Macaca mulatta: one gene and its partners. The protein of the gene in region 6 interacts with the protein of the main gene of each other region in a pairwise test. Links are inferred from orthologs where the notes say so. Each region holds a gene or a part of one and is shown on either strand. Other genes may lie near its edges. The genes, in order: SEC22C, TIMMDC1, SYNDIG1, BCL2L2, CD79A, FATE1 and BNIP2.

What was found.
Region 1: the proteins of FATE1 (region 6) and SEC22C interact in binary tests that used the Homo sapiens proteins (3 or more experiments, as listed by UniProt). The two-hybrid records come from large-scale screens. The link is inferred for Macaca mulatta from reciprocal best matches to the Homo sapiens genes FATE1 and SEC22C.
Region 2: the proteins of FATE1 (region 6) and TIMMDC1 interact in binary tests that used the Homo sapiens proteins (3 or more experiments, as listed by UniProt). The two-hybrid records come from large-scale screens. The link is inferred for Macaca mulatta from reciprocal best matches to the Homo sapiens genes FATE1 and TIMMDC1.
Region 3: the proteins of FATE1 (region 6) and SYNDIG1 interact in binary tests that used the Homo sapiens proteins (3 or more experiments, as listed by UniProt). The two-hybrid records come from large-scale screens. The link is inferred for Macaca mulatta from reciprocal best matches to the Homo sapiens genes FATE1 and SYNDIG1.
Region 4: the proteins of FATE1 (region 6) and BCL2L2 interact in binary tests that used the Homo sapiens proteins (3 or more experiments, as listed by UniProt). The two-hybrid records come from large-scale screens. The link is inferred for Macaca mulatta from reciprocal best matches to the Homo sapiens genes FATE1 and BCL2L2.
Region 5: the proteins of FATE1 (region 6) and CD79A interact in binary tests that used the Homo sapiens proteins (3 or more experiments, as listed by UniProt). The two-hybrid records come from large-scale screens. The link is inferred for Macaca mulatta from reciprocal best matches to the Homo sapiens genes FATE1 and CD79A.
Region 7: the proteins of FATE1 (region 6) and BNIP2 interact in binary tests that used the Homo sapiens proteins (3 or more experiments, as listed by UniProt). The two-hybrid records come from large-scale screens. The link is inferred for Macaca mulatta from reciprocal best matches to the Homo sapiens genes FATE1 and BNIP2.

The regions. Positions count from the first base shown.
Region 1 is NC_133407.1:105,947,139-105,951,515, reverse strand, and holds the start of SEC22C (vesicle-trafficking protein SEC22c), read left to right. Parts: upstream 1-1,538; 5' UTR 1,539-1,554; coding exon of another isoform or gene 1,555-1,612; 5' UTR 1,613-1,659; intron 1,660-1,840; exon of another isoform or gene 1,841-1,933; intron 1,934-4,377. Other genes in the region: NKTR (NK-tumor recognition protein), read right to left, coding at 1,555-1,612. UniProt on the Homo sapiens protein: May be involved in vesicle transport between the ER and the Golgi complex.
Region 2 is NC_133407.1:164,222,467-164,226,699, reverse strand, and holds the start of TIMMDC1 (complex I assembly factor TIMMDC1, mitochondrial), read left to right. Parts: upstream 1-1,348; 5' UTR 1,349-1,523; coding exon 1,524-1,717; intron 1,718-3,468; coding exon 3,469-3,634; intron 3,635-4,233.
Region 3 is NC_133415.1:59,586,870-59,590,623, forward strand, and holds part of SYNDIG1 (synapse differentiation-inducing gene protein 1), read right to left. Parts: intron 3,208-3,754; exon of another isoform or gene 3,205-3,207; 5' UTR 3,130-3,204; coding exon 2,650-3,129; intron 1-2,649. UniProt on the Homo sapiens protein: May regulate AMPA receptor content at nascent synapses, and have a role in postsynaptic development and maturation.
Region 4 is NC_133412.1:96,405,958-96,410,275, forward strand, and holds the start of BCL2L2 (bcl-2-like protein 2), read left to right. Parts: upstream 1-1,410; 5' UTR 1,411-1,644; intron 1,645-1,759; 5' UTR 1,760-1,847; intron 1,848-2,328; 5' UTR 2,329-2,336; coding exon 2,337-2,768; intron 2,769-3,387; coding exon 3,388-3,537; 3' UTR 3,538-4,318. UniProt on the Homo sapiens protein: Promotes cell survival. Blocks dexamethasone-induced apoptosis. Mediates survival of postmitotic Sertoli cells by suppressing death-promoting activity of BAX.
Region 5 is NC_133424.1:52,914,487-52,918,922, reverse strand, and holds the start of CD79A (B-cell antigen receptor complex-associated protein alpha chain), read right to left. Parts: upstream 2,818-4,436; 5' UTR 2,597-2,817; coding exon 2,518-2,596; intron 83-2,517; coding exon 1-82. UniProt on the Homo sapiens protein: Required in cooperation with CD79B for initiation of the signal transduction cascade activated by binding of antigen to the B-cell antigen receptor complex (BCR) which leads to internalization of the complex, trafficking to late endosomes and antigen presentation.
Region 6 is NC_133426.1:157,958,166-157,960,723, reverse strand, and holds the end of FATE1 (fetal and adult testis-expressed transcript protein), read right to left. Parts: intron 2,182-2,558; coding exon 2,075-2,181; intron 1,667-2,074; coding exon 1,588-1,666; intron 944-1,587; coding exon 812-943; 3' UTR 555-811; downstream 1-554. UniProt on the Homo sapiens protein: Involved in the regulation of endoplasmic reticulum (ER)-mitochondria coupling. Negatively regulates the ER-mitochondria distance and Ca(2+) transfer from ER to mitochondria possibly implicating it in the regulation of apoptosis.
Region 7 is NC_133412.1:36,997,252-37,001,005, reverse strand, and holds part of BNIP2 (BCL2/adenovirus E1B 19 kDa protein-interacting protein 2), read left to right. Parts: intron 1-476; coding exon 477-653; intron 654-3,754.

The DNA of each region.
Region 1 (4,377 bases), on a different chromosome or scaffold from region 6:
AGGCTAAAAACATTAAAAAGAGAGAGAGAAGGCAACCAAATTTTTAGGATTATCTCATTCCTTTGCTCAAAACTCTTTAATATCTTCCTACCTCACTGAGTCAGTCCTACAGGCCCTTTCTACTATTCTCTTCCCTCTTCTACTCCAGCCACACTGGGCACCTTGCTGTCCGTCAAACATGCAAGTACAGTCCTCTATTGTTTAATAACCAGGACGGATTCTGAGAAATGTGTAATTAGGCAATTTCATCATTGTGTGAACATCATGGAATGTACTTAAACGCACCTAGATGGTACGGCCTACTACACACCTAAGCTATATGGTCTATTTGCTCCTAGGCTACAAACCTGTACAGGATGTTACTCCACTGAATACCGTAGGCAACTTTAACACAATGAAGTATTTGTGTATGTAAACATAGGTAAACATTAAAAAGTTACACAAAAAAAAGTATTCTATATAAGACCACTGTTAAGAGACAGAAATGTCATTTGGCGCCTGACTGTATACTACTTCTCACCTCAGGGCTGTGCTGTTTCCCTCTACCACGAATGCTCTTCTTAAATATGGCTCACTTCATCTCTTTCTGATACCTGCTTAAATGTCATCTTCTCAAAATGGCCTTGTCTGACCAACTTATTAAAATAGTATCCCAACTGCAAGTCACTGTTTTCTTCCTAGTTGTCTGTCTTCCCCCCAATAGAATATAAACTATAAAAGGAAGAGTGGCCTTTGTTTTATGCGCTGCTCTATCTCCAGACCCTAGAACAGTAGCAGGTTCTCATAAGAATATGCAGAACAAGATGTTGCACAGTGTATATATATGCCTCCAATTAAAACTTCTGTCACAGATAACAAAAAAACCTAAGAAAACAGTTTGAAACCCTGCACGCTCTGCTACTTAGAATAAAGTAACTATGCTCTAGAAGGAAATGTTTCATTTTCAAAAAAATACACTTTAACAAATGGCTGGACTCCCAAAAGACAAAACAGTAACGCTAAGTGCATGCATGCTGCAATTCTGCTGATACAGAATGCTCTGGTTTATCACAAAGGACGTTCATTAAGCCATTTTCCCAGGAACCACGAAATTCTAGCTAAAGATTCTTAAGGAAAAATAGAGGCAGCGTTAACATTAAAGTAGTGATATATCGTGATTAGGAAACACACATTTCCTACTAGTTGAAACTTCATGGCACCAAGCAAGATAACCGGAAATCGGATCGGAAGTGTCTGCCCCACGGAGACACTGGGAGAGAAAAAGTCCTCAAAGAACTGCACCTCCTTTTCTTGGCGCCAGGCTGGCTACTAGGACTCAGTCCGGAGATGCAGGGGGCGGTGTGGGGTTTGGGAGGAAGAGGCCTGGACTGCGAGTTTGGGGTGTGCCCAGGCCACCTTCCTCTCCCACTGATTTTCTCTCAAGAGAAAATGGAAAGTTGACTGCGCCTCCTACCCGCTCCCAAAAAGGACGGGGGGAGGGTTACTGAGGGTAGACCCCTCCCCTTCGCCTAGGCAGGCCTCGGCCCCAGCAGCGCTCCCCAGTCTCCAGCTCACCCGGCTCCCGGTTGATCTCGATGTCGAAGTGGCACTGCGGCCGGTCCTGCGCCCCCATCGCGACCGAGGTGGCGGCAAGAGCTGGGAGAGAGGGGGAGGAAAGCGGTCAGGGCAGGGGCGAGGGCGGGGGCGAGGGCACGGGCGAGGGCGGGGCTGAGACGAAGTCCGCGCCACGGTGCCTCACGCCGGCCCGTCGCAACAGCGCAGGAGGCCAAGACGAGGCCCCCTCCCGCCCCAGGCCTCGCGGCTCCCACGCAGCGCGTACGCATGCGGGCGAGCTCTTCACCTGGCTGGCCTCCAGCCTGAGCGGGTCCCAGTGAGCAGAGGAGAAAGCACTGCCACTGCAGCCAGACCCCAACGCCGCTAACGGAACGCCACCTCCTCCTCCGGGCCCGGCCTCCCAAAGCCACGCTAAATCCCGCGAGAGTCGGGACAAATACCGCGAGAGTACAGTCTAGATGGGGGTGGTCAACCGGAGGTGGTGGCAGCGGGGGCGCACGCTCGGGGGCGTGTCTGGGGAGCTCTCGAGGAGCCTCCAGCCGGCGCTCCTATACCTGCGCGCTCCCTGTTTGCCCCCCCGCTTTGAAGTCAGTTGCCCAATGTGAAAGCCGTGGATGCGCCTGCGCCCTCCGTCTCGTCCGGCTGTGAGCGTCTGCGGCATTTTCGGATACCGCCAGACTTCCCTGTTTCTGAGCGCTGTGAAGGAGCTGAGTGAATTGAGGCTTTGAGTTTTCGTTAGCCAAGAGGTCGTGTCACTCTGTGTTCCTGTTGGCCGGGGATGGTTATGTCCGTGTCCTACTGTTAGGTCTTTTAGGCTGAGGAATGTGTTCCTTCCCGCTTTGGCACCAGCGTCACTGGCACCGTTTCTGTTCTGTGCTTACTGGCCATTCTGCATCTTTTCTGAAGTTTCAGTTCCAGTCTTTGCGCGTTTTTAAATCTGGTTCTTCGTGTTTAGCAGCTCTGGATACAAATGTTTTGTTAGATAGATATATGTATGTTCTGAATAAAAATCTTTTGTTACATAAATGATTGCGAAGTCTTTCTCCCAGTCTGGGCCTGTCGTTTCATTGTTTTGAGTATGTTTTTGGCAAAGTTGTTTTTAATTCTGGTGAAGTCAATCTTTTATGGTTTGTGCTTTTTCTGTGCTAGGAAATCTCTGCCTACCTCAAGTTCGTGAAGATATTCTGTGTTCTCATATATGTTTTACATAGTCTTTTACGTGTAAGTCTATGATCTAATAGCATTAATTTTTGCTTATGTTGTCAAGTGTCACATTTTCCTATCGGGATATACAGTCGTTCCATTACCATTTGTTGAAAAGACTCTTACACATTGAATTACCTTAGCCTTGTGACCAAATTTGTGTGGGTCTATTTCTGGATTTTTGTTCCAATGATCTGTGTATCAGTACCACACTATCGTTTAAGTTTTTTAACTATAAAATATACATTACATTACAGTTGCCATTTTAACCATTTTTAAGTGTACAGTTCACTGGCATTAATTGTATTTCACACGGTTGTGCGACCCTCAGTACCGACCATCCATCCACAGAACATTTTCCATCTTGCAAAACTGAAACTCTGTATCCATTAAACAGTAACTCCCCATTTCCCTCTTTTCCCAAGTTCCTGGCAGCCACCTTTCTACTTTCTCTCTGTAAATTTGTCTACTCTAGTATCTGCCTACTCATATTTGAGTAGAATCATACAATATTTGTTCTTTTAAGCTGGGCGCGGTGTCTTACTCCTGTAATCCCTGCATTCTGGGAGGCCTAGGCGAGTGGATCACCTGAGGTCAGGAGTTTGAGACCAGCCTGGCCAACATGATGAAACCTCATCTCTACTAAAAATACAAAAAATTAGCAGGACGTGGTGGCGGGCACCTGTAATCCCAGCTACTCAGGAGGCTGAGGCAGGAGAATCGCTTGAACCCAGAAGGTGGAGATTGCAGTGAGCCGGGATCATGCCACTGCACTCCAGCCTGGGCAACAAGAGTGAAACTCTGTCTCAAAAAAAAAAAAAATTGTTCTTTTGTAACTGGGTGATTTCACTTAGCATGTCTTCCATTTCATCCATGTTGTAGCATGTCAGAACTTCCTTTTTTGAGGCTGAATAATATTCCATTGTATGTATATATCATATTTTGTTTATCCATTCATGTGTCAGTGGATATTTAGATTGCTTCTACCTTCTGGCTATTGTAAATAGTGCTGTTATGAGCGTGGGTGTACAAATACCTCTTTGAAATCTGCTTTCAATTATTTTTTGTATATGCCCAGAAATGGAATCACTGGATCATAAACTAATTCTATTTAAGATTTGTCCAGGAATTACCATAGGTGAAAAAAAGGATGATAACCAATGCAGGTGTGCTATTAACCAGCTACCGCAGTTGCTGATTGGAACGTAATCCTGCTGGGGAACTCTGGGAACACATACAGAAGAAACATGTCAGGATTATCCCACCTGAGGATATCTCTTGAGAGTCCCTGGTTGAGAGATGCTCCTGGGGTGATAATCATTAGGTTCTTCTGGCCTGCTACACCTGGGCAAAGCAGATTTCCAGTTTTAGGAAAATATCCTCAAGAATAGAGATGCAATATGGACAGTTGGGATTCAGCTGGAGCACAGTTAGAGGAATAAAGTTCAGTTAAGTTAAAGTTCAATAAATGAAAGTGAAATGCTGATAGCTTCTGCCACAACTGGCAAGTCATTTTGTTGTTTGCAAACAAGGGAGTGCTTAGGAATGGAGAAACGCAGACGTTTTCTGACGTACGGGAAGCACTTGATAATTTCCGTGTGGAATTCCTGCAGCCTCCAT
Region 2 (4,233 bases), on a different chromosome or scaffold from region 6:
TTAGCTTTTTCTACATATGGGTTAGAAACAGACTGTACAGCCATTTTCTTGGGCTTCCAAGCTTTGCTAACTTATCTTGGTGCCTACTTCTACCTAACATGAGATAAGCAGCAACCCAGAGCCAGAAGTCAGGGAATCTAAATTATTCATTCAACAAATATTTACTGAGCACCTACTACAGTTCTAGGTCCTGGAGATACAGAGATGAATATATGTGGTCTGTGACCTCAAGGATAGTTTATTGAGACGGATGAACAAATAGGAAATTATGATGCAGTGTCATAAGTGCCATGATGAGTGCTGAATCAAATATTGTATCCCAGAGTAGTCTTTGTAGCGCCGTCACTAATTCAGCTGGTCACTCTAGTCAGCCACTTCTCGGAGACTTGTGTATAGAATTTCCAGCTATCAAATTCCAGAAGTCTGTTTACTGTATTCTACTACAGTGTGGCAATTTTGATTTACAACTAGAAAGGAATAAAGGAGGTGAAGGGATTGGTAAAATGAATAAGGGAGCATGCTTGTTAAGGATTGAATGAAATTACACGAATACTGAAAATATTTTAAATGCATTCATTTTAATGAAAACTATACTTCGAAGCATGTTAGCAGAGGTTGTAGTGACGGCAAATTATACAAACACAGAAATTCCAGAAATTCTCCTGCCTTTTGAGAAGCAGTAGGCATATGAACTAAAGGGAGTGAAATCCACCTTATGAAGAGCTGCCAAAAAGCTGATTCTTCAAAAAAGTGTTCTCGAAATCTTGGTGTAACTGGCACCAAGACCCATCCCCTTTACCTGCACAAATCGCCTTTCCCTCTTTCCCTATTCCACTTGCACTGAATATTGCACTTTCTTCCTCACTGAAGCGGGATTCCTGGCTTTTTTTTTTTTTTTTTTTTTTTTGAGACGGATTTTCGCTCTTGTTGACCAGGCTGGAGTGCAGTGGTGTGATCTCGGCTCACTGCAACCTCCGCCTCCTGGGTTCAAGCGATTGTCCTGCCTCAGCCTCCCAAGTAGCTAGGATTACAGGCGCCCGCCACAATGCCCAGCTAATTCCTGGCATTTTAATTACGCTAAATTACTTCAACCTATGACCACCTCAAGCTGAATGTAACTAGCCGCAGACGCTGTTTGCATGACCCAGGAACCACTAAGACACGGAACGAACGCCTGCCGGCACCACGCAGAGCTTCACTACCCGCAGCGAACTCACTTCCGTGGTGGACTCAGCACAGCAGTGGCCCGACCCCCCCTCAACCGGAAGTCTTTTGGGCTCCGGCTTTGCCGTCGCCCGGCCCCCTGGCCTTTGCCCCGATTGGGCGGGACTTCCTGTGTCGTATTTCCAAGGACTCTAAAGCGAGGCCCAGGACTGAAGGCGTTGGTGTCGAGCCCTCTGGCAGAGGGTTATCCTGGGCCAAATGCACGGATTCTCACCTCGTACAGTTACGCTCTCCCGCGGCACGTCCGGGAGGACTTGAAGTCTTGAAGGCTCAATTTGTCCGTAGGTCGAGAGAAGGACATGGAGGTGCCGCCACCGGCACCGCGGAGCTTTCTCTGTAGAGCCTTGTGTCCATTTCCCCGAGTCTTTGCTGCCGAAGCTGTGACTGCAGATTCGGAAGCCCTTGCGGAGCGTCAGAAGCGGCCTCTCTACGTCCCAGAGCCCTATTACCCGCAATCTGGATGGGACCGCCTCCAGGAGCTGTTTGCCAAAGAGTAAAAGTGCCTGGGGTCTGAAGTGGGTAGGGGGACGCGAAAGCGATGTCCTGCAGCGTTGGCAGCCTGGGTCAGCCTTAGGACGCCAAGTGTGCTTCATTTTTAAATTATATTTAAAGGTTCTGATATTTGTAACCCAAACTTGTATCTTTTTTTTTTTTTTTTTTTTTTTTCCAGACAGGGTCTTGCTCTGTCGCCCAGGCTGGAGTGCTCTGGTGCGATCTCGGCTCACTGCAACCTCTGCCTCTCGAACTCGAGTGATCCTCCCACTTCAGCCTCCCGATTAATTGGGACTACAGGCGCGCGCCACCACGCCCGGCTAATTTTTTTAAAATATATTTTTTATAGACAGGGTTCTTACCATACTGCCCAGGCTGGTCTTGAACTCTTGGACTTAGGTGATCCTCCTACCTCAGCCTCCCAAAGTGCTGGGATTACAGGCGTGAGCCACCGCACCAGCCCAAACTCGTATTTTTTTTTTTTTTTGAGACTGAGCCGTGCTCTATCGCCCAGGCTGGAGTGCAGTGGTGCGATCTTTGGCTCACTGCACCCTCCACCTCCGGGGTTCAAGCGGTTCTCCTGCCTCAGCCTCCCGAGTAGTTGGGATTACAGTTGCCCACTACCATGTCCAGCTAATTTTTGTATTTTTAGTGGAGACGGGATTTCACCATTCAGCAGGCTGGTCTCTAATTCCTGACCTCACGTGATCTGCCTGCTTTCGCCTCCCAAAGTGCTGGGATTACAGGCGTGTGCCACCGTTGTTGGACTGAGCCCGGCCTAGAAGGGAAATTATTTTATAGTAACTTAATACTTAAGACAGCTATTTGTTAGAGCAGTTTCAGGATGACATCTTGGAAGCTTCATTAGCAGTTCTAGCTTCTTATGCGTTTAAGAGTAACAAACTGAATTAAATAGTAGCTTTTCCTTATTATTTTAGATTAGCATGTGCCACCCACTGCATAGTGAACTTTCTCAGTGCGTTTTTTAAAAAACATATATTTATTTGTTTATTTTTAGAGCCAGGATCTTTGCTACGTTGCTATGCTGTCCAGAACTGGGCTCAAGTCCTGCCTCAGCCTCCTAAGTAGCTGTGACTACAAGCATGTGCCACTGTGCCCAGCCCAGTGCTTTTATTAATACAGTCCTATCTGAGTATTTCATGAAATTATTTAGTAAAATAGAATTTAGATTTTTTGTCTTAACGTCCACGTTTTTTTTTTCTTTGATACATTGCCCTAAAATCTCACGAGTTGGTGTGATTTCTTAAAGTTAGCTTAAGATTTAAACGGAAATATTGGTCTATCTAACTCACAAATTCTTCCTGTTTCTAGGGGTGTAATAGTCATCAAATAAAAGCACCTTTTAAAAAACTTTTTATTGAAGTAGGAAATGCGTTTCAAAAAATGTACATAAGTAGACTGATGAATGCATTTTCACAGACTGAACATAGCTGTACCCAACACTCAGAAGGAAACGGCAACTATTATCACATCCCAAAAGCTCCCTTTGTGCCTTTTCCAGTCATTGTCTTTTCAGGAGTTGCCACTATCCTAATTCTAACAGCATAGCTTCGTTTTGTCTGAGACTTACGTTCCTTTTAATATAACTGAACTGTTTAATTCATCTGCGGATTCTACCTATGATGAAAAATGTTGTGGTGTTAGCATTCGGGATAATTCTGATTATAGATTCTTTTGGAGAGCAATGTCCATAAACTAATCCCAAACAACATTGTCTTTTTGATGTTGTAGTGAACAGCAGAGAATTTCAAAGGAACTTGCTGATATCTGTAAGATGGCAGCTACAGCAGGCGTCCTCGGCTGGGTGTATGGGGGTATACCAGCTTTCATTCATGCTAAACAACGTTACATTGAGCAGAGCCAGGCAGAAATTTATCATAACCGGTTTGATGCTGTGGTATGTACTGGTGGTCTAAAGAAATTTAGGGCACACTGACTTAGCAATTCACTTTACACTTAATCATTCAATTAGCTTGTGGGGATGGAGGGTTGTTTTAAAGTGTCAGAGTAAAGAAATAAAGTCTATACTTAATAACAGTGGAAGTACTAACATTAAAGTGCCTGCATGTGGCTTGAGACTACTTTCTTATCTTCAGAACAGACATGTTTGGCATCACCACTGTGGCTTTTCTTTCTGAAATATCTTTCTTCCAATCCCCTGCTAAATCATCAAGGCTCAACTGTAACATATTTACCTCATTCACAAAGCCTCCCTGAGTATAGGAGCTTACACTAAGACAATAGTTAACATTTATAACTTTATAGAGTGCTAACTCATTTGTTACATCATTAGATCTGTACATCAGTTCTATGAGAATATTAAAGCTCAGAGAATTTTTAACTTTTTATTTTGAAATTATGGCAGGCTTGAAAGTTGCAAAAATAGTACAAAGATTTCCTATATAACTTTCATCCAGATATTCCACTGTTAACATTTTACCGTATTTTATCATTCTTCCTCTGTATAATATGTACTAATTTTTTCTGAACTACTTG
Region 3 (3,754 bases), on a different chromosome or scaffold from region 6:
TCCTGGTCAGAGCAGCTCCTGAAAACACAGATCAAGATCTGACCACAGCCCTTCTGCATGAGACCCTTCCATGGACCTGCATGGTCACGTGCAGGTGCCAAGGCCTCCTCCTGCGATTCCCAGGTCCTCCACATGACATCCTGCTCACTTTGTGTTGTCTTGTGGATTAAATGTTGGTGCATTCTGGCTCTTGGTTACTCTAACAAATCTATTCAGGCTTCCCAGCAACACGGCCTGTGTGGTGGGGCACAGCAGTGACCCTGAAGCAGAGGGGACAGATGCTCTGGGTGGGGCCTGGCTCTCCAGGCTCCAGGCCCCCCCCTCCCAGGGCTCCTTCTTGACTCTTTGGTGGGTCCCTTCTGTCTCACACGTATCTGAGTTTGTGACTCTGCATAAATCCAGTCTCCCTTAGGTGGCTGATAAGGTCCTTGCTGATGGGAACCCCCTCCCTCTCCAACCTGTCTCCTCCCCGTCTTTCCCATAGGCCTCCGCATTTCTGACCAGTTCCTCTTCCCTGCAGATCTCTGGAGCTGCTGCCTCTGTGCTCCCCAGGTCCTCTTGGACTGGAATTTCTCTGCCAGCTCCCCTCAAGCCTCCTCTTACTCATCCTCAAGATATAGCCGGGGGAGGGCTCCTGCCTGTGTGATGACTTCTGAACCCTGCATTGAGCTCAGGGCCCTAGCCCCTCTTCAGAGCTGATGGGGTATTCCGTTCCCATAACTCCTGGGGCTGCGTTTTCGTGCATTCGCTTCCCTAATTCCACTCCATGCGGGTTGGGCAGTATTTATTTATATTTCGCTGTCAGCAAAGCCCTCAGATCTTGCAAAACAGTAGACAGGGACAGAGGCTTCTGAACAGAAGCCAAGCATGCTCCCAACTTTCCACAGCTGCATCATGAGCACCCTCCCTTTACAGGGGTCACCAGAGGGCATTAGGACCTCCGCAGATGCCCAGGCATCACATCTTGGTCCTCTTCCATGCTACGACTCTCCACTCCCTGCCAGTGGGCTTCCCAGGCTCCACTGGCTGGGGCTGCACCGAAGTTTCCCTCTCCATTGCTGATCCTCCCTCCTGACTAAAGCCGGATCTCTTGGCTCCTAGTTCTCACTGAGGTCTCCAATCCTGATCCTCTGGTCTCCTTGACCTGCCACTCCCTTGCAATTTCTCCGGCCTTTCTATCAAGCGTGGGTCCCATGGTTGTGGGTCTGATTCGGCTCCAAACTTCCTCCCTCTTGCTTTCTCCTGCCTCCTCCACCTTCCAGGCAGAGTACACCTTGCCAAGAGAGCCTCACCTGCTAAAGATGGTCCCACACGGCTGGAGAAAGTCACGGAGCCCTGGGTCTGACCAGATCTTCACACGAACTCATACTGCAACTGGGCAGTTTCTCCAGAAGTCTTTTCTAGAATGGGCACTTCCCCCAGATCACTGCTCTAGACTGTCTGCAATCTCCCCACACCCCAACACACCCCAAGAGCTTCTCTGGCTTGCTGATACTCAGCCAACACGAACCCCTCCTTTCCTTCCTCTTCAACCTAGAGCGCTTGAAAGTTTCCCTTACCCCACCCTTCTCTTCTCTCCCAGGCCAGCACGTGGACTTCTTCTGAGAGGCCATCTCTCACACATACATGCTTGGAGTACAGCTCCTGCCTCCCCAAGACCACTCCCCAGCCGCCGGCCGCGATCCTGAATTTTCCATTCTGAACATTTCCTCTCTACTTACAAAAATGTTCTCACCTACCTTAGTGAAAAACAGACATCCCTTCCTTCCCCCTTTGGCCACACACTGCCTCTGAAGGTCGGACCTGTTCGGCGGTTTCCTCCCCCACCAAACTGACGGAAAACCTGGCCCAAGTCTCCCTGACATCGCGTCCTGGGAAAACATCCTTGGCCTCACTGCAGCGGAAAGTCTGGGAGCGCATGGGCAGCAAACCACTAGTCCATGGCCTGTAGCCGCTGCTCTCACCCTGTCACCCAGTGCTGCCCTAGGGGGCCAGTGTGCCACATACCCAGCAACCACTGTGCCTACCATGCTATATCCAATGTGCAATGTGCACATCTCTGTGCGTGTAATTCAAATGCTGTCACCTGCCCTCCAGTCCTCTAAAAAAGTCAGCTTATCTTCCCTTTAGGCTATCAGTACCTACACTTTCTTCCAGCGTGGTTCAGCTCTATCAACAATCTCTCAGTAGTAACTGTGGAATGCAAAGTCAAGGAACCACAGGTGACAGCAGAAACACCTCCCAAAGTGTCTCCCATCCAATACATTTCCAGCCTCATGTGGCTCTGGGATCAAGCATTCCTCCCTCCTCTTGTCAATGACCTCTCTGTCTCATGGGATGAGGGACAGCAGGGAAAACTGATGAACCCACCAGCACTGCCTTCTGCAGCCCCATCTGACAGCCATTACCTGGGGTCATCTCATACCAGAATCACTGGCTTTCTGTTAATCTAAGTCTTTCCTCTCCTTCTATCTTCCACAAGCATTCAAGAGTGAAGGGCACCAAGACTGCCTTTGGTTTCTGCATTTTTGCACACTAGTTTCATTCCCTAATTTCTGGGCTACAGTGTATAGGCATTCATGGCTCCTGCCCACCCTAGAATCCCCATCACACATTCCTAGAGGGCCTCTGACAAACACATCCTCTAACCTCCAGCTCCTGGAACTCCTCCTCCTCCTCCACATCGTAGGACAGGGTATGGATTTTTATGTCATCAGCTGAGAGGTCGATGAACTTCCCATCGGGGTACTCGAGGCTGTCTTTGGTGGGCGATCGGTCCTCGATGAAGGTGGTCTCGCAGCAGTCGGTGGTCACACCATCCCCCCAGGAACGCAGCACACCCTCTGAATAGAGGATGATGTTGGGCCTGTAGCGGGACTCCACCGACTGCTGCAGGGTGTTGGGGTCCAGCAGCTGCTGCACCGGCTCACTCCTGCTGCTGTCCAGGCTGGCCGGCACTGTGCTGGCCCCCACCCGGTGGCTCTGGTACTGGGGCGCTGGGTAAACAGACACCAGACCATCTCTGCTCTCGGCCATCAAGTTTCTGGTGTTAATTAAGCCATTCCTCTTGCCAGCATCACTGATTTTACTGTGCACCAGCATGCTCTTCTGTTCAATGATGCCATCCATGGTCCTCTCTCTCTGGCTAGGCGTCAGGCTGGCGGGCTGGGCACGTAGGTCACACTTGTCTCAGGGAACCCATTTCTCCTGGAGGAGGAGAAAACAGAGATGAGACAAGAGAATCACACTTAAAAACAAGCTAATCACCCAGACCCACATTGTTTCAGACTGTACCAATCAGCTGATAAATGCATAGTAACTGTGAGAGTTAGACAAAATGCAGTCCTACCTATTCAGTGAATGTTAAAAAGGATCTGTCGGGGTGGCTAGCCAGAGGTAGCAGAAACTGATTACCTGAATCTCTATAAAGTCTCTGCTTCCAAATGAAGGAGACTGCAGGAGCTGGCTCCCTTGCAGCCTAGAGGAACCTTTGATTGCTAGCAGACATCCTGAAACCCACGGGTAAACCCAATCACATTAGCATCCGACAAGTCCATAGGAAAACAGAACTGCAAATCTGTAATGGGGATTAGCTCTTCCCAGGTACATGGCTATTCATTCAAGCAGGAAATTATGTGATTGCAATAATCCCTACTTAGTGATGATCTTGAGGTGTCAAGTCCCAAACACGAATCTGCTACTGAGGCATCTTGAGATAGGCACAGCTTGGTCTCTTAGGGTGCTCTCTACAGTT
Region 4 (4,318 bases), on a different chromosome or scaffold from region 6:
AAAAAAGCACAGCATCTAATAACTCCTCAAAATATGTTTTTACTTTTTTTTTTTTTTTGAGATAGAGTCTCGTTCTATCACCCAGTCTGGAGTGCAGTGGCATGATCTCAGCCTCCTGGTTTCAAGCGATTCTCATGCCTCAGCCTCCTGAGCAGCTGGGATTACAGGCTGGCTAATTTTTGTATTTTTAGTAGAGATGCGGTTTTGCCATGTTGGTCAGGCTGGTCTCAAACTCCTGGCCTCAAGTGATCCACCCGCCTTGGCCTCCGAAAGTGTTGGGATTACAGGTGTGAGCCACCAAACCCAGCTAGTTGTTACTATTATTGCTGCAGAAAAGACCTTACTTCTCAAGTGACCATAAGGGCAGATGGTAATACAGAGGCTTGGTTTGGAGGTAGAAGCAAAGGGTACTAGCAGAAGAGGAGAACTGGGTCGCCTCTTTCTGGCCTTTGGTTGGGTTGCTTTTTAAATGGAGCTGAAGAAAGTGCCAGATCCAAGAGCCCAGGGGGCTGGCTGTGAGTGCTCTCATGTGGATCAGCTGTGGTCAGATTGCTTCACACCTGTGACCCGCCCTGTATAAATATACTGCCATGTATAAATAATGGCCCCATGTATATGTAATCTGGAAGGATAAACATCAAGCTTAACAATGGCAACCTGCAGGGAGGGAAGTGGAATTGGGTGTGTATGTGTGTGTGTGTTTGAGAACCTGTATTTTATTACTCCATACCTCTTTATTGTTTGATTTTTTTCACAATGAGAATTAGTTCCTGTGTTGGGTAAAAAAAAAAGAAAAGAAAGAAAGAAAAAAAACCACTAAAATCAATCTGATTACAAAAGAAGATGAATTAAAGAAAAGTACCGGAAGAAACTGCTTGTGATCCAAGTCCTGGCTCCTTGATGCCTGGCTGAAGCCCAGCCCACAAAGACAACACTGGGTTAAAGGTCCTGGAGAAAAGATGGGAAAGGTTTGGTGTCTGTGTAGTGTCTGCTAGTCCCAAAAGGGTAAGGCACCTAGTAGACGGTTCCCAGCTTAATGGGAACTGCTCCTGTTTTCCAGGCACACAATTCAGGGCTGGAAAAGTTCAACAAGTGCATGGAACATCGGAAACCTCCTGGAAATGCTAAATTTGCCCCAAGATGTCCTGAAGTCCGGCATATTTCTCTGGGCAGCCTCGAGGCTCAGGAGCCCAGCCCAGCCCAGCCCACCGTGCCCTCTCAGGCAGCCCTTCACTGCCTTCAGCAGCCCTCCCTCTTCCTGAGTAGTGGCCCTTCGCAGGCCTGCGTCCCAGCCCCGCCCCTCTCTCTGGACGCATCTTTGGGCCCCATCATCACCCGGCGCCGGGCCCTCCCTCTGCCCCCCCTTTCTCCTCCCTCCTTCCTTCCCTCCCTTCCTCCCTCTCTCCCTCCCTCCCAGCTCCTGCACCAGGAAACGGCCCGGATCCCGGCAGCGGCCTGACCCGTGAGATCCCTAACCTGGCAGGCGGGCGGGGTTGGAGACTGGCTGAGGTGGGGGTAAGGGAGGAGTTGGGCCTTTGGGCTGCACTAGGGGGAACCGCGAATACAGATGGTGTCGGCAGGAAGCCCTTGGCCCTGGGTTTCCCGGGAGGACAGTCATTAAACATGGATTCGGCCACACAGCTGGTAGAGCGTTGGGGGCAGGGGCCCAGGCCCAGAGCTGCAACCCTAGCCGTTCCCAGGCCAGAACCTGATCCCTGGCCTTCCCCTCCTGGTTCTGATCTCCCCCTCCCCTTTCCAGAGCTCCACGCTGGCCGGGAGGATGAAAGGCCCCAGCTGGGGGCTCCTTGCCACCAGTGCTGTGTCTTAAGAGCTGCCATCCCGGCTGGGTGAGTGTCTCCTTCCTTTCTCTGTCTGGAGTAAACCATTGCGTCTCCCACCTTTCTCTTCGGCCCATCTGCTCCCCCTCATCTTGTGCCTCTGCCAACATCTTTATATCTTGCATTTGGGGAGGTCCTAAGCCCCTTCCTCTAGCCAAGGAGGTGTGGACTAAGGAGGCCCAGGGGTGGGAGGGTTGTAGGGGTGTCACAGAGCTGACGTTGTCTTATTATGAAAAGAATCTAAAGTATCTCTAAACAGAAAATGTACTTGTTTTAAATGTAATTTGGCATATTAGGAATGTAATGGCCAGCCCCTCACAGCCTGGTCTCATATCATGACTTAATTCCCTTGTTCTTGCCTCTCCCTGTCCAGTGAGCTCTGAGCATTTCTTCTCTCCTCCTCATCTCACTGGGTTGGTCAAACCAGAAATGCCCCTTCTGATTCTCTCTCCATATATTCATGCCAGTGTTTCATCCTTGCCTCTTATAGCTGCCCGGATGGCGACCCCAGCCTCGGCCCCAGACACACGGGCTCTGGTGGCAGACTTTGTAGGTTATAAGCTGAGGCAGAAGGGTTATGTCTGTGGAGCTGGCCCCGGGGAGGGCCCAGCAGCTGACCCGCTGCACCAAGCCATGCGGGCAGCTGGAGATGAGTTCGAGACCCGCTTCCGGCGCACCTTCTCTGATCTGGCGGCTCAGCTGCATGTGACCCCAGGCTCAGCACAGCAACGCTTCACCCAGGTCTCCGATGAACTTTTCCAAGGGGGCCCCAACTGGGGCCGCCTTGTAGCCTTCTTTGTCTTTGGGGCTGCACTGTGTGCTGAGAGTGTCAACAAGGAGATGGAACCACTGGTGGGACAAGTGCAGGAGTGGATGGTGGCCTACCTGGAGACGCGGCTGGCTGACTGGATCCACAGCAGTGGGGGCTGGGTAAGAAGCTTCTCAATTGCCGCTCTGCACATCCCTCTGCAAAGCTGGTTTCCAGGGGGAAGATGGGAGCTCTGATTGGAGACTGAGGCAGCTATGTTGGGAATGAGGTGCGGGGCTGAGTCTCCCCGTCTGGGTGGAATCAGATTGAGAGATGCCTGGACTCTGCACTCCAGGGCTGCCATGCAGTCAACACTGGATGGGCTCATGGTCCCAAGCAGAGGACAGAATCCACACCCAAGGAGTGCCTGCAGGGGAATGTTGTCAGGGACTTTTTGCACCTGAGTCATGGTGTGGGAGGTGGGGAGGACCAGGGATGGGTGGTGGTCAGGCAAGCCTTGGCAAAGGATGCTAGTTCTGAGCAGAATTTTTCGCCAAGGAAAGGATGGAATTCACTGGAGGCAGAGTGGGCGGCAAATGAACCAGTCTCTCAGGGTGGGGGTGCACCTGGGGGGATCAGAGGGGCTTGCAGCCAGAAGAGCTTTGACCAGAGAGGAGCTGGGTATGGGGTAGTGTTGGCAGTGGATGGAACTGGAACTCTTCCTCTCCTCTTCTGTCCACTCTTTCCTCTCCTGATATCCCTTTCTCCTTCTTTCTCTCCTACTTCCCTTCTCTCCCACAGGCGGAGTTCACAGCTCTATACGGGGACGGGGCCCTGGAGGAGGCGCGGCGTCTGCGGGAGGGGAACTGGGCATCAGTGAGGACAGTGCTGACGGGGGCCGTGGCACTGGGGGCCCTGGTAACTGTAGGGGCCTTTTTTGCTAGCAAGTGAAAGTCCAGGGCCAGGTGGGGCTAGGTGTGGCTGGGGGCCAGGAGAGCAGGAACAGAACAGAGAAATGCCCTTGGAAGAAATGGAGTTGGTGGATGGGTGGGCATGGAACAGGATGGGCAGGGGAAGGGTAGTGTGTGAGGCAGCTGAGTAGGCCAGGTAGGCGATTGGAAGAGTGAGCAGGACACATAGGTGAGGGAAATGTTTTGGCAAGTTTAGGGACGCAGGAGATGGAGTCGATCCAGGGCTGGGGGATGTGGGAGGGATCACACCTATAGGTGTGGGCACATGAAATGACCTGGAACTTGGTTTGCAGCCCTGAGGAAGGTGGACTTGCATAAGCAGTTGTATTCCATTAGATGAGTGGGATTTGGGGAACGCAGAAGGCACATCCTTTTGGAATGGAAGCTTGGGGGTTCTCAGGTGATAGGGAGAGGTGGCTGTAACAGTGGGCTGCTTGGACACACGTGTGCATGTGCACGCATGCTGGTGTGCATGCTGGGCTGCCTGGCAAATCTGGTGGTGGTGGGATTCCTCAAGGAGAAAACATTCCCTCTTGCAATGGCAAGAACTAGGGGCAGTTCTCTGTCCCTCCTCCCAACCCCTCCTTTCCCCTGCCCTTGTCCTGATGCCTCAAGGCTTAGAGAGAAACATTGTATCCAGACCGAGGGCTCTGCTGCTTCTCTCCAGAAAGTAATTGGCAAGGCTTTGAAGAGAAGAGCAGTTCTGCAGCTGGCCTTGTTCCTTCATCATCCCCCTTCCTTGTGCATCATGCACTTGCTGC
Region 5 (4,436 bases), on a different chromosome or scaffold from region 6:
CATTGGAAGTGGGCCTCTTCCCCCAGGCTCACCATCAATGATGTTGGGCCCCCATCTACCCACAGGGCCTGGCACCCAGGACCTGTGGAGAGGCAGGGTGGGTGGGTCAGGGACTAGGGATGGCGACACATGCCCCCAGCCCTGGCCCCTGCAGCTCCAGCACTCCTGGGAAGAGGGTGAGGACATGCCTGGGTGAGGAGGGGAGGAGGGTGAGGACATGCCTGGGTGGGGGGGGAGGAGGGTGAGGACTCTCCTGGGTGGGGGGGGAGGAGGGTGAGGACTCTCCTGGGTGGGGGGGGAGGAGGGTGAGGACTCTCCTGGGTGGGGAGGGGAGGAGGGTGAGGACTCTCCTGGGTGGGGGGGAGGAGGGTGAGGACTCTCCTGGGTGGGGGGGAGGAGGGTGAGGACTATTCTGGGTGGGGAGGGGAGGAGGGTGAGAACTCTCCTGGGTGGGGGGGGAGGAGGGTGAGGACTCTCCTGGGTGGAGGGGGAGGAGGGTGAGGACTCTCCTGGGTGGGGGGGGAGGAGGATGAGGACTCTCCTGGGTGGGGGGGGAGGAGGGTGAGGACTCTCCTGGGTGGGGAGGGGAGGAGGGTGAGGACTCTCCTGGGTGGGGGGGAGGAGGGTGAGGACTATTCTGGGTGGGGAGGGGAGGAGGGTGAGAACTCTCCTGGGTGGGGGGGGAGGAGGGTGAGGACTCTCCTGGGTGGGGGGGAGGAGGGTGAGGACTATTCTGGGTGGGGAGGGGAGGAGGGTGAGAACTCTCCTGGGTGGGGGGGGAGGAGGGTGAGGACTCTCCTGAGTGGGGGGGAGGAGGGTGAGGACTATTCTGGGTGGGGAGGGGAGGAGGGTGAGAACTCTCCTGGGTTGGGGGGGAGGAGGGTGAGGACATGCCTGGGTGGGGAGGGGAGGAGGGTGAGAACTCTCCTGGGTGGGGGGGGGAGGAGGGTGAGGACTCTCCTGGGTGGGGGGGGGAGGAGGGTGAGGACTATTCTGGGTGGGGAGGGGAGGAGGGTGAGAACTCTCCTGGGTTGGGGGGGAGAGGGACAGCCCCTGACAGGGGCTGATGCATCCTGGGGAGAGGGGGATGCGGGAAAGTGAAGAGGCCCCTGGGGAGGGAGAGAGGACAGAACTGGTTGGGGTGGGTGAGGACATCCTGGGGGAGGAGAATGAGACTCCCTGGGATGGTGAGACCCCTGGGAGGCCCTTCTCACCTCTGCAGCGCCATCTCTTGCCCCCCTCCCACATACCCACTTTGTGCTCTGGGCCCTGTGAACTCTCTGGATTTTGGATGTTTGTTCAAGGCACTGGAGGACCGCTGTCCAGACAGCTCCTTCCAGAAGCAGTGCAGGCATCCCCTCCTCCCGCAGCCTTCCCGGTCTATTTTTGCACCCCAGCCTCAGCCAGGCCCTGCACCTTGCGCTTTTTCTTGTGTATTCATTCACAGAACCCTAGAAGTAGGTTATCTCCTTAGCCCCATTTTACAGGAGGGATGGCTGAGGCCCTGGGAGGGCTGGCGGTTTGCCAGCATCACCAGGCAGTCAGGAGTGGCACTGGGTTCAAACTCATGGCTCCCTGGCCTCTCCCTGCCTGGGCTGAGGAGCCAGTCTGTGGCCTGCCCTGGCCTGTGACCCTGTGCCTGGCCCTCATTCTCTGTAAGTTGTATGTGTCAACTCAGGGGTGAGTTCAGTCCTCGGGCTGGATTGCTGGTGAGCGAAGGGGGTCAGAGCGGGGTGGAGACTGGGGGTGTCTCTGAGTGAGACCGGGCTGCTCAGGCTGGCTGCAGTGTCCAATCTGGGCTCCTCTGGGAAGTCCCAGCTCTCAGCCAGGCCTCCCACATGGCCGGCCCCCTCTTCTGGAGGTAGGCGGAGGAGGGAAGTGAGGAAGAGAGAAGGAGGAAGAGGTGGGGAGAGGGGCCGAGCACCCTTATCATCATGGGCTTAAGACTCAGACGTGAGCTCCAATCCTTGCTCCCAGTGTCCGCTTGGGTGGGGAACCTTCTTCTCTGAACTCCTGGGTTAGCGTGGCCACAGCCCCTGCCAGCTGTCCTTGAGCGGGTGAGGAGGAATCTATGAGACATCTGTTCCCCCAGTGCTCAGAAGGGACTCCCAACACAGAGAGGCACCTGAGGTTTAAGGCAGATAAAGCTTTTTCTCCCCTTGACAGACGCTGAATGCTACTACCCTCAAGTCCCCTTCCTGTCCCCAGCCCTCGTGCTCAGTCAAGAGCAACTTTAGTTCCTTATTTTGGCCTGTGGGGAGCAGGAGGTGGGGGAGGTGACTCTTGCTCCTGCCTGCCTCCGTGAGGCTGTGGACGCCCCTTCTTCACTGGGCTCCCTCCAGCCCCACATTGGCCCAGCTTGGCACAGATACGATTTCTATAGGCATCTTCCCTGGCTCCCCTACCCTCTGCCTCCTCTTCCCCTTTCCCTGAGCCCCCTTCCCTCTGCCTGTGCCCACTCTGCAGCCTCCACATCTTCCCCCACCTCCCACCAGTTCCTGCCCTTTGGCCACATACCCAGGTAGGCAGCAGACAGCAGGAAGAAGAGGAAGATGGTGGCAGGCAGAGCTTGGAGGACTCCTGGACCCCCAGGCATCTTCTCCTAGTGGGTTGGTTAGTTTGAGTTGCAGCAGTCCCCGGGTACCAGATCCCTACCCCAAACCCCACCCTACTTCCTGCCCAGCCCCCCGGAGATGGGCTCCAGTGGCCCTCGCTGCTGGGCCCTTTACTTGTTGGGCCTGGGGACAGCCCCTGCCGGGTAGGCTTCAGGCTGTGAGTGGAGAGGAACTGCTCCCTGCACCTGTGGTGGCCACAATTCCCCTGAGAGGTGGCTGCTTGGGTGGGGGAAGAGGCTGGTTCAAGGGCTGGCTCGTCACTGCTGAGCCTTTGGAAGGAAGCCTAGGGAACCTGAGTCCTGGGCATGTGCTGTGGGCAGGTGATGGTTCTGAGCTTGACCTCTGCCCCTGCCTGGACTTGGGGAAACCTTGTCCCTTCCCTGACCCCATTTCCTTGCTTCTTGATTAGAAACAAGGACTTAAAAGGGGTTGTTGCATGCACAGAAATGGCCCATAGTAGGCGCTCAGTAAATGTTAGTCACTATAAATGCTCATGAAGAATAAATAAGGCAGGCTGACCTGTGGCTGAGTACCCGTGTGACTAGGTGGGCACTTTTATCCTTTGAACCTTGACATTTTTCATCTGTGAGATGAGGACCAGAATGTCTCCCTGTCTCATTATGTGATATGAGATGGTGTTTCTGGTATTCCAGGAGTTAGAGCCACGATCAGCTCTTTACTGGAATTCTTTGTTAAAAAACAGGCCAGGTATGGTGGCTCACGCTCAGGCCAGGTATGGTGGCGGGAGGTGGGGAGAGATGTGGAGGCTGCAGAGAGGGCACAGGCAGAGGGAAGGGGGCTCAGGGAAAGGGAAGAGGAGGCAGAGGGTAGGGGAGCCAGGAAAGATGCCTATAGAAATCGTATCTGTGCCAAGCTGGGCCAATGTGGGGCTGTAGGGAGCCCAGCGAAGGAGAAGGGGCGTCTACAGCCTCACGGAGGCAGGCAGGAGCAAGAGTCACTTTGAGAGGCTGAGGTGGGAGAATCACCTGAAGTCAAGAGTTTGAGACCAGCCTGGCCAACATGGTGAAACCCCATCTCTATTAAAAATACAAAAATTGGCCGGGCGCGGTGGCTCAAGCCTGTAATCCCAGCACTTTGGGAGGCCGAGACGGGCGGATCACGAGGTCAGGAGATCGAGACCATCCTGGCTAACACAGTGAAACCCCGTCTCTACTAAAAAATACAAAAAAAACCTAGCCGGGCGCGGTGGCGGGCGCCTGTAGTCCCAGCTACTCGGGAGGCTGAGGCAGGAGAATGGCGTGAACCCGGGAGACGGAGCTTGCAGTGAGCCGAGATCCGGCCACTGCACTCCAGCCTGGGCGACAGAGCGAGACTCCGTCTCCAGAAAAAAAAAAAAAAAAAAAAAAAAAAAAAAAAAATTAGCTGGATGTAGTGGCACATGCCTGTTATCCCAGCTACTCAGGAGGTTGAGGCAGGAGAATCAGTTGAACCCAGGAGGGGGAGGTTGCAGTGAGCTGAGATCACACCATTGCACTCCAGCCTGGGTGACAAGAGTGAAACTCCATCTCAAATAATAATAATAATAACATATATTTTTCTTCTTTTTTTTTTTAGAGAGATGGGATCTTGCTATATTGCCCAGGCTGGTCTTGAACTCCTGTCCTCAAGCAATCCTCCTGCCTCGGCTTCCCAAAGTGCTGGGATTACAGGCATGTGCCACTGCACACAGCCAGAAGTTGTTTTATATTGACCTGCCATGACTGGGCAAGGTAGGCCATCCCCCATTTTACAGATGGGGAAACTGAGGCCAGAGAGGGGAGGTTGTTACTTGCTGGTGTCATACAGTCTAAGGGTGGTGAA
Region 6 (2,558 bases):
CGCTGGATGACCCAGGTACATGTTTCCTCCCTCTGGAATTCAATTTCCTCTTGTGCAAATGAGAATGTTTCTGGTCCCTTTCAGGAGATTTCCTCTGATTGCATCCCTGCAACACAGTCCAGACATGCTCCCAGAACCACACACCCACAAGCACCCATTTGCATCAGCCCAACAGGAAGAACTTTGCAAAGCTGGGGCTGGGGACAGTGAGGCGGGGAAGGTGAAAGGGAGGAGGAAACCAGGGCACCTGGGGCAATGGCAGAGGCTCAGTCCCAGCCACAAGGTCTTTGTGAAGAGGCGCTGTTGTTCCTCAGTGCACCCCAACCCCACTGTTGCCCCAAATGAGTGCTGGACACAGGAACCTCAGCCACAGAGTTTTGCTGCTATGGCGGAACTTTTATTGAGCATGATGTTTGCGCAGAGCGTTGTGCACGAGGTGGAAGCAAACGAGGGAGGAAAACAAAGCCACACCCCTGCCCACAGAGGATGGAACAGAAGGGCCGCTGAGGTCAGGAAGGCAAGGTTGCCACTAGGTGTTACTGTGGCGTCCAGATGCCGCCATGCTCTTCACCCTTCAAAGGATGGCATCTCAGCCCATGCAGTCCTCCTCCACCTTCGCAGCAGCCAGGACCTCCCAATGCAGTGACCTGACCTCCCCAGGTAGGAGGCCTAACCAGAGCTGAAAATGACCCTGACGCTGCCTGAGGGCTGCTGGGAGATAAAAGGGGGATGGGCAATGGCGGCCCAGGGAAAGAGGAAAGAAAGAAGGGGAAGCAGGGAGGGCTCCAATACGGAGGCCGCGCGGGGGCGATCACTGGTTCATCCACAGCCACAGGTTGGCTATGCTGGCTGACACCAGCACGGCGATGATCAGGGTCTCCCTCTGGCGCCAGGTGGCGCCCTGCTCCTCCAGGGCGCGCAGACGCCGGTTGACTGCATATAGCTGCAGAGGAGCCAAAGGGAGGACTACTGAGCCAGGCTCTTCTCCAGAAGCCCACAGCTCAGCCATCGGAAAAGCATAAAGTTAAAGCAAGAAGGGGCTTGATTGCCCTTTGGCGGTGGAGCGGGGAGTGCCCCTAGTGAGAAGCAGGGGGCTGGGCCAGGTCCGCTGGACCAAAGACTTGGCTGCTGCGTCTGCAGTCGCTACTTCTGCCTTCTCCCTTGATGCTCACTTCCATTCTCTGGAAGAGGCCAGCCCATTCCAGCTGCTCCGGGGGGCCAAGGGAGGAAGGGTCTCCTCCTGAGAAGGTCTGGGTTTGATTTGAACAAAGGCGACCCCTCTCTCAGACTGTTGGGTATCACTCTCTCTCTGGACATAGAACACTTATCCTTGTATGTTCCCTCTTCCTTTACCTTTTATCGGCCCCTATTCCCTGCCAGCATCTCAGGGACAGCAGTAGGTTTGAGATTGGACATCTACCTGGGTCAGAGCCATGGGGATGAGGAGGAAAAGGAAGGGAATCTGCCCTACCTCCAGCGCTAAAGGGAAAGATGACTGTAAGGGGCTACAAGACCCCAGATGTTGAGCCCTGACTACTCCAAGGCATTGTGATTCTGCTTGCACCCACCAATTGGGTCCCTCCTCACCTGTCTTCTCATGACTTCCATCTCCAGTACATTGAGCTCTTCCAGGCTAGTCTGTGCCACTGCATCTGTACCTGGGTTGCTGGGAGAGAAAAAAGACAGAGGGTCAAAGCTGCTGGTGGCCCCGGCAGGACCTGGCAGTGAGCACAAGAAGGCAATGAGGTCAAGCAGGTAAGGTCAGGAACTTCTTGGACAGTGACTATGAGCCTCCAGTCCTCTCCCATGGTAAAGAGGGCCTAGGGCCTTGAGGACTGGGAGTCAGCCTGAGCTAGCCTGAGCCAGCCTGGCCCAGCCTGGCCCAGCCCAACTCGGCTAGCCCACAGAGCACTGGGATGCCCCAAATGGGCAGGGAGCCAGGGTGCTCATGGTCTCTGACAGGGAGGCATTCCAGGCCCTCATGACTCCGTCCTGGCCAAGCTGCTCACCAGCCCCTCCGCCCCACTCTGGGCCCTGTCTGAGCAGCCAGGGCCCACAGACCCTCAGCTCTTACCGATCATAATGGAAACGCATGCCTTGGAAATTGCCAGGGTACTCCTGGAGATGGGCATCCCCATGGCCTGATTCTCTCAGCATTCTGGGCATTGGCAGCTGGGACCCCTGAAGAAAGGAATGATCAGTAAAGTAGCCTGCCCAGCCCCACGTGAGTGGCTTCCCCAGTTTGCCCAGAACCAATGGTGCACCCCATGGGGAGTCACATGGTGCCTGGTCTCTGGAATCAAGGGCTGGCAGCTTCAGGCCTCTAGGAAAGCTTGGGAACTCCACACAGGCTGCTGGCCACCACCCCACCCGCACCATGCTCCTCGGTAGCTCTTGGTCATCCAGGCAGGCTGTGGCAAAAGAAGAGCAGTGACAGGGGTCTCTGTCCTCTGCAAGAACTTTCACATGCAGGTATTAGCTGAGAGGCTGAGCAACCTACTGAAGGAGAACGTAAAACCTTGATTGGCAGCCCAGGCCATTGAGGCCTGGCGAGGTGC
Region 7 (3,754 bases), on a different chromosome or scaffold from region 6:
TGAGAAGTGATCACTGAGTAGTTAACCACTTCCTATCTGGTATTACAGTTAATTTATGTGCTCAACAACAACAAAATTGGCTCCCAGATAGCTACTTGAAGTAACCTATAGTCATAACTGCCAGGGAGAATATTGTCACAAGTTGAATCTGGAAAGGCATTGTAAGGCACATGTACTAAGATTTTGATGACTCTATGAATTATATTTTCTGAACTTGTGGATATATGATATAAACCACTATGATTAGGTGGTTTTTGCTAAATTGGGCAATAAAAAAAGTTAACCATGATTTCCAAAGACATAAAATGGCCTCATGTTAAGAATAAGCCTTTTCCTGCATTATGGAAGAGATATTTAAAATTGCACAGATGGTATAATGAAAATTCTCTGTAAAATCTAGATAGTAAAGTGGTTAACGTATAATTTGATTTTTATTGTGTAACAATTGGTGATTGAAAAACTTTTTATTTTGACAGATGATCTTCCAAAACCCAAGACTACTGAAGTAATTAGGAAAGGCTCAATTGCTGAATATACAGCAGCAGAGGAAAAAGAAGATGGACGACGCTGGCGTATGTTCAGGATTGGAGAACAGGACCACAGAGTTGATATGAAGGCAATTGAACCCTATAAAAAAGTTATCAGCCATGGGGGTAAGAGTTACTGAACATTTTTCAAATTGTTTAATGTGGTATCAGAATTCTCAATAGTTTTAGAAACTCTGCCTAGAGATATTACGTAATTTTGAAAGAATAATAAGCATTTATCATATCATTTTAGAAACATGATAGGTTTGAAGTAAAAGAAGAAAAGTACCATTTTTTTCTCTTTTTGCTTTTGAGATGGAGTCTCGCTCTGTGGCCCAGGCTGGAGTGCAATGGCGTGATCTTGGCTCACTGCAAGCTCCGCCTCCTGGGTTCACACCATTCTCCTGCCTCAGCCTCCCGCGTAGCTGGGACTACAGGTGCCCACCACCAAGCCCAGCTAATTTTTTTGTATTTTTAGTAGAGGCGAGTTTTCACCGTGTTAGCCAGGCTGGTCTTGATCTCCTGACTTTGTGATCCACCCGCCTCAGCCTCCCAAAGTGCTGGGATTACAGGCGTGAGCCACTGCGCCCAGCCAAAAGTACCATTTAAAAATGATTATATACCTACACTAAGTTGAAAAAGTACAAAAGAATTTGTAGTGAAAACTGTCAGGTTGGGCATGGTGGCTCAGGTCTGTAATCCCAGCAATTTGGGAGGCTGAGGCAGGAGGATTACTTGAGCCCCGGGGTTTAAGACCAGCCTGGGCAACATAGACCTTGTCTCCACCAAAAAAAAAAAAAAAAAAAAAAGCCAGGAATGGTGGTGTACGCCTGTAGTCTCAGCTACTTAGGAGGCTGGGGTGGGAGGAGAGAGAGCTCGAGCTTGGGAAGTTGAGGCTTCAGTGAGCCGTGATCATGCCACTGCACTCCAGTTTTTTGTTTTGTTTTGTTTTGTTTTTTGTTTTTTGACCCTGTCTCAAAATTTTAAAAAGAAATTTTTTTTTAGCTGTCTCTAGGCTACCCAAAACTGGGACTGTACTTTCTCCATAATTTATAAACAGTGAAATGCCCTGATCTTAAGTGTACAATTCAATGAGTTTTGACAAATGCCCATATAACTGTATATTCCCATATATATAACCCACACCCCTAAACATATAGAACATTTTCATTGTCCCAGAATAATTCTTTAATACCCCTGCCCAGTGAATCCTCACCTTGGTAGCCACTGTCATATCTACCGCCTGATTAGTTTTACCTGTTCTAGAATTTCATATGTAGTAACTGAAATCATCCTGTACACTCTTTTGTTTACTTTTCAGTATGAAGTTTTGGAGATTCATCCATGTCGTTGATGTATCCACATTACATTCCTTCTTATTGGGGAGTAGTTTTCCATTGCATGGATAAACCATAATTTGCTTATCCATTCTTTTTTTTTTTGATGTGCATGTGAGTTGTTTCCAGCTTGGGCTATTATAAACAAAACCGCTTTGAGCATTCTTTTAGAAGTCATTTATGGATATAAGTAAAACTTGGACTTTTTTTTTGTTTTTGAGATGGACTCTTGCTCATCACCCAGGCTGGAGTGCGGTGGCGTGATCTTAGCTCGCTACAACTTCTGCCTCCCTGGTTCAAGGGATTCTCCTGCTTCAGCCTCCCGAGTAGTTGGGATTACAGGCGTATGCCACCACCCGAGCTAATTTTTTATATTTTTAGTAGAGAAAGTGTTTCACCGTATTAGCCAGTATGGTCTTGATCACCTGACCTCATGATTTGCCCACCTCAGCCTCCCAAAGTGCTAGGATTACAGGCTTGAGCCCCTGTGCCCAGCCCTAAAACTTAGACTTTTTAACCTTAACTCTTAATGTGCCTTAAAATCCTGAACAAATTTTTTTTTTCCTTTTTTTAATTTTTTTGTTTTGTTTTGTTTTTTGAGACGGAGTCTCGCTCTGTCACCCAGGCTGGAGTGCAGTGGCGCAATCTTGGCTCACTGCAACCTCTGCCTCCTAGGCTCAAGCAATACACCAGCCTCAGCCTGCCAAGTAGGTGGGACTACAGGCACGCACCACCATGCCCGGCTAATTTTTGTATTTTTAGTAGAGATGGGGTTTCACCATATTGGCCAGGCCGGTCTTGAACTCCTGACCTTGTGATCCACCCGCCTCAGCCTCCCAAATTGCCTGGATTACAGGCATGAGCCACAGCGCCCAGCCCAAATTATTTTTTAATAGAGAGCTCATTCACTCCACATTTTTATAGAGTACCCACTTTCCATACTTATGGGATATACAAAAATACAAGGCTTAAGTCCCTTCCCTTAAGAAACAGGAAAAGCTATAAAAGTTTAAGTTACAAATCCTGTGAATCTAACAGTACCATATATAGAAGTTTACCTAGGCACATTGTAAATAGTGCTAGAATGTTAGTGGCAAGTCAGAACACAACTCACTGTAGAGCATGTCACACTACCTTAAATCCTCCTAACACAGGACAGAGTGGCACATGGGTCAAGCAGATTGATTTTTTTTCGGAGTCATTTCCACTTAATTTACCACTTACTTTAATGCCAGATGCATTCCCCTGCTTATTTCTACAGTCTTCATTCATCTGAAAGCAAATCACATGAATATTTGTAGTTGCATTCTTCTGCCTAATTTAATCATACTCAGATGAAGAAAATGGCATAATCTGGATCAGGAAGTCCACAGACGTATATTATTCAGCTAGTTCACTGGAATCAAATTATAAGGCCTGATTTATGGCTTCAATCTCTTTCAGAAATAGCACTTTTTTATAGGGGAAAATAAGACCACCTTATCTTACTGCATTATCACACTTAATATATTTTGTGACTGAGTGATTAAGAAAGGTAGTGAAGATTCTGATGTTCTTGAAATGTTCAAATCTTTTCAAATGCAAATTTGTAAACAATAGAAATGAAGGTTAAAGCAGAAGTATTTGCTACTAAATATGGGCTTAATATCTAAAGAAAGCAGTTGAAACATAGGTATTTTAGCGCTGTTTTCCATTACTGAAAATTATGTCAGAGATGTAATTTAGTTTTTGGTTTTCTTTTTTTTTTTTGAGACCCAAGTCTTGCTCTGTTGCCCGGGCTGGAATGCAGTGGTACAGTCTTGGCTCACTGCAGCCTCCGCCTCCCAGGTTCGAGTGATTCTGGTGCCTCAGCCTCCTGAGTAACTGGGACTACAGATGCACACCACACCC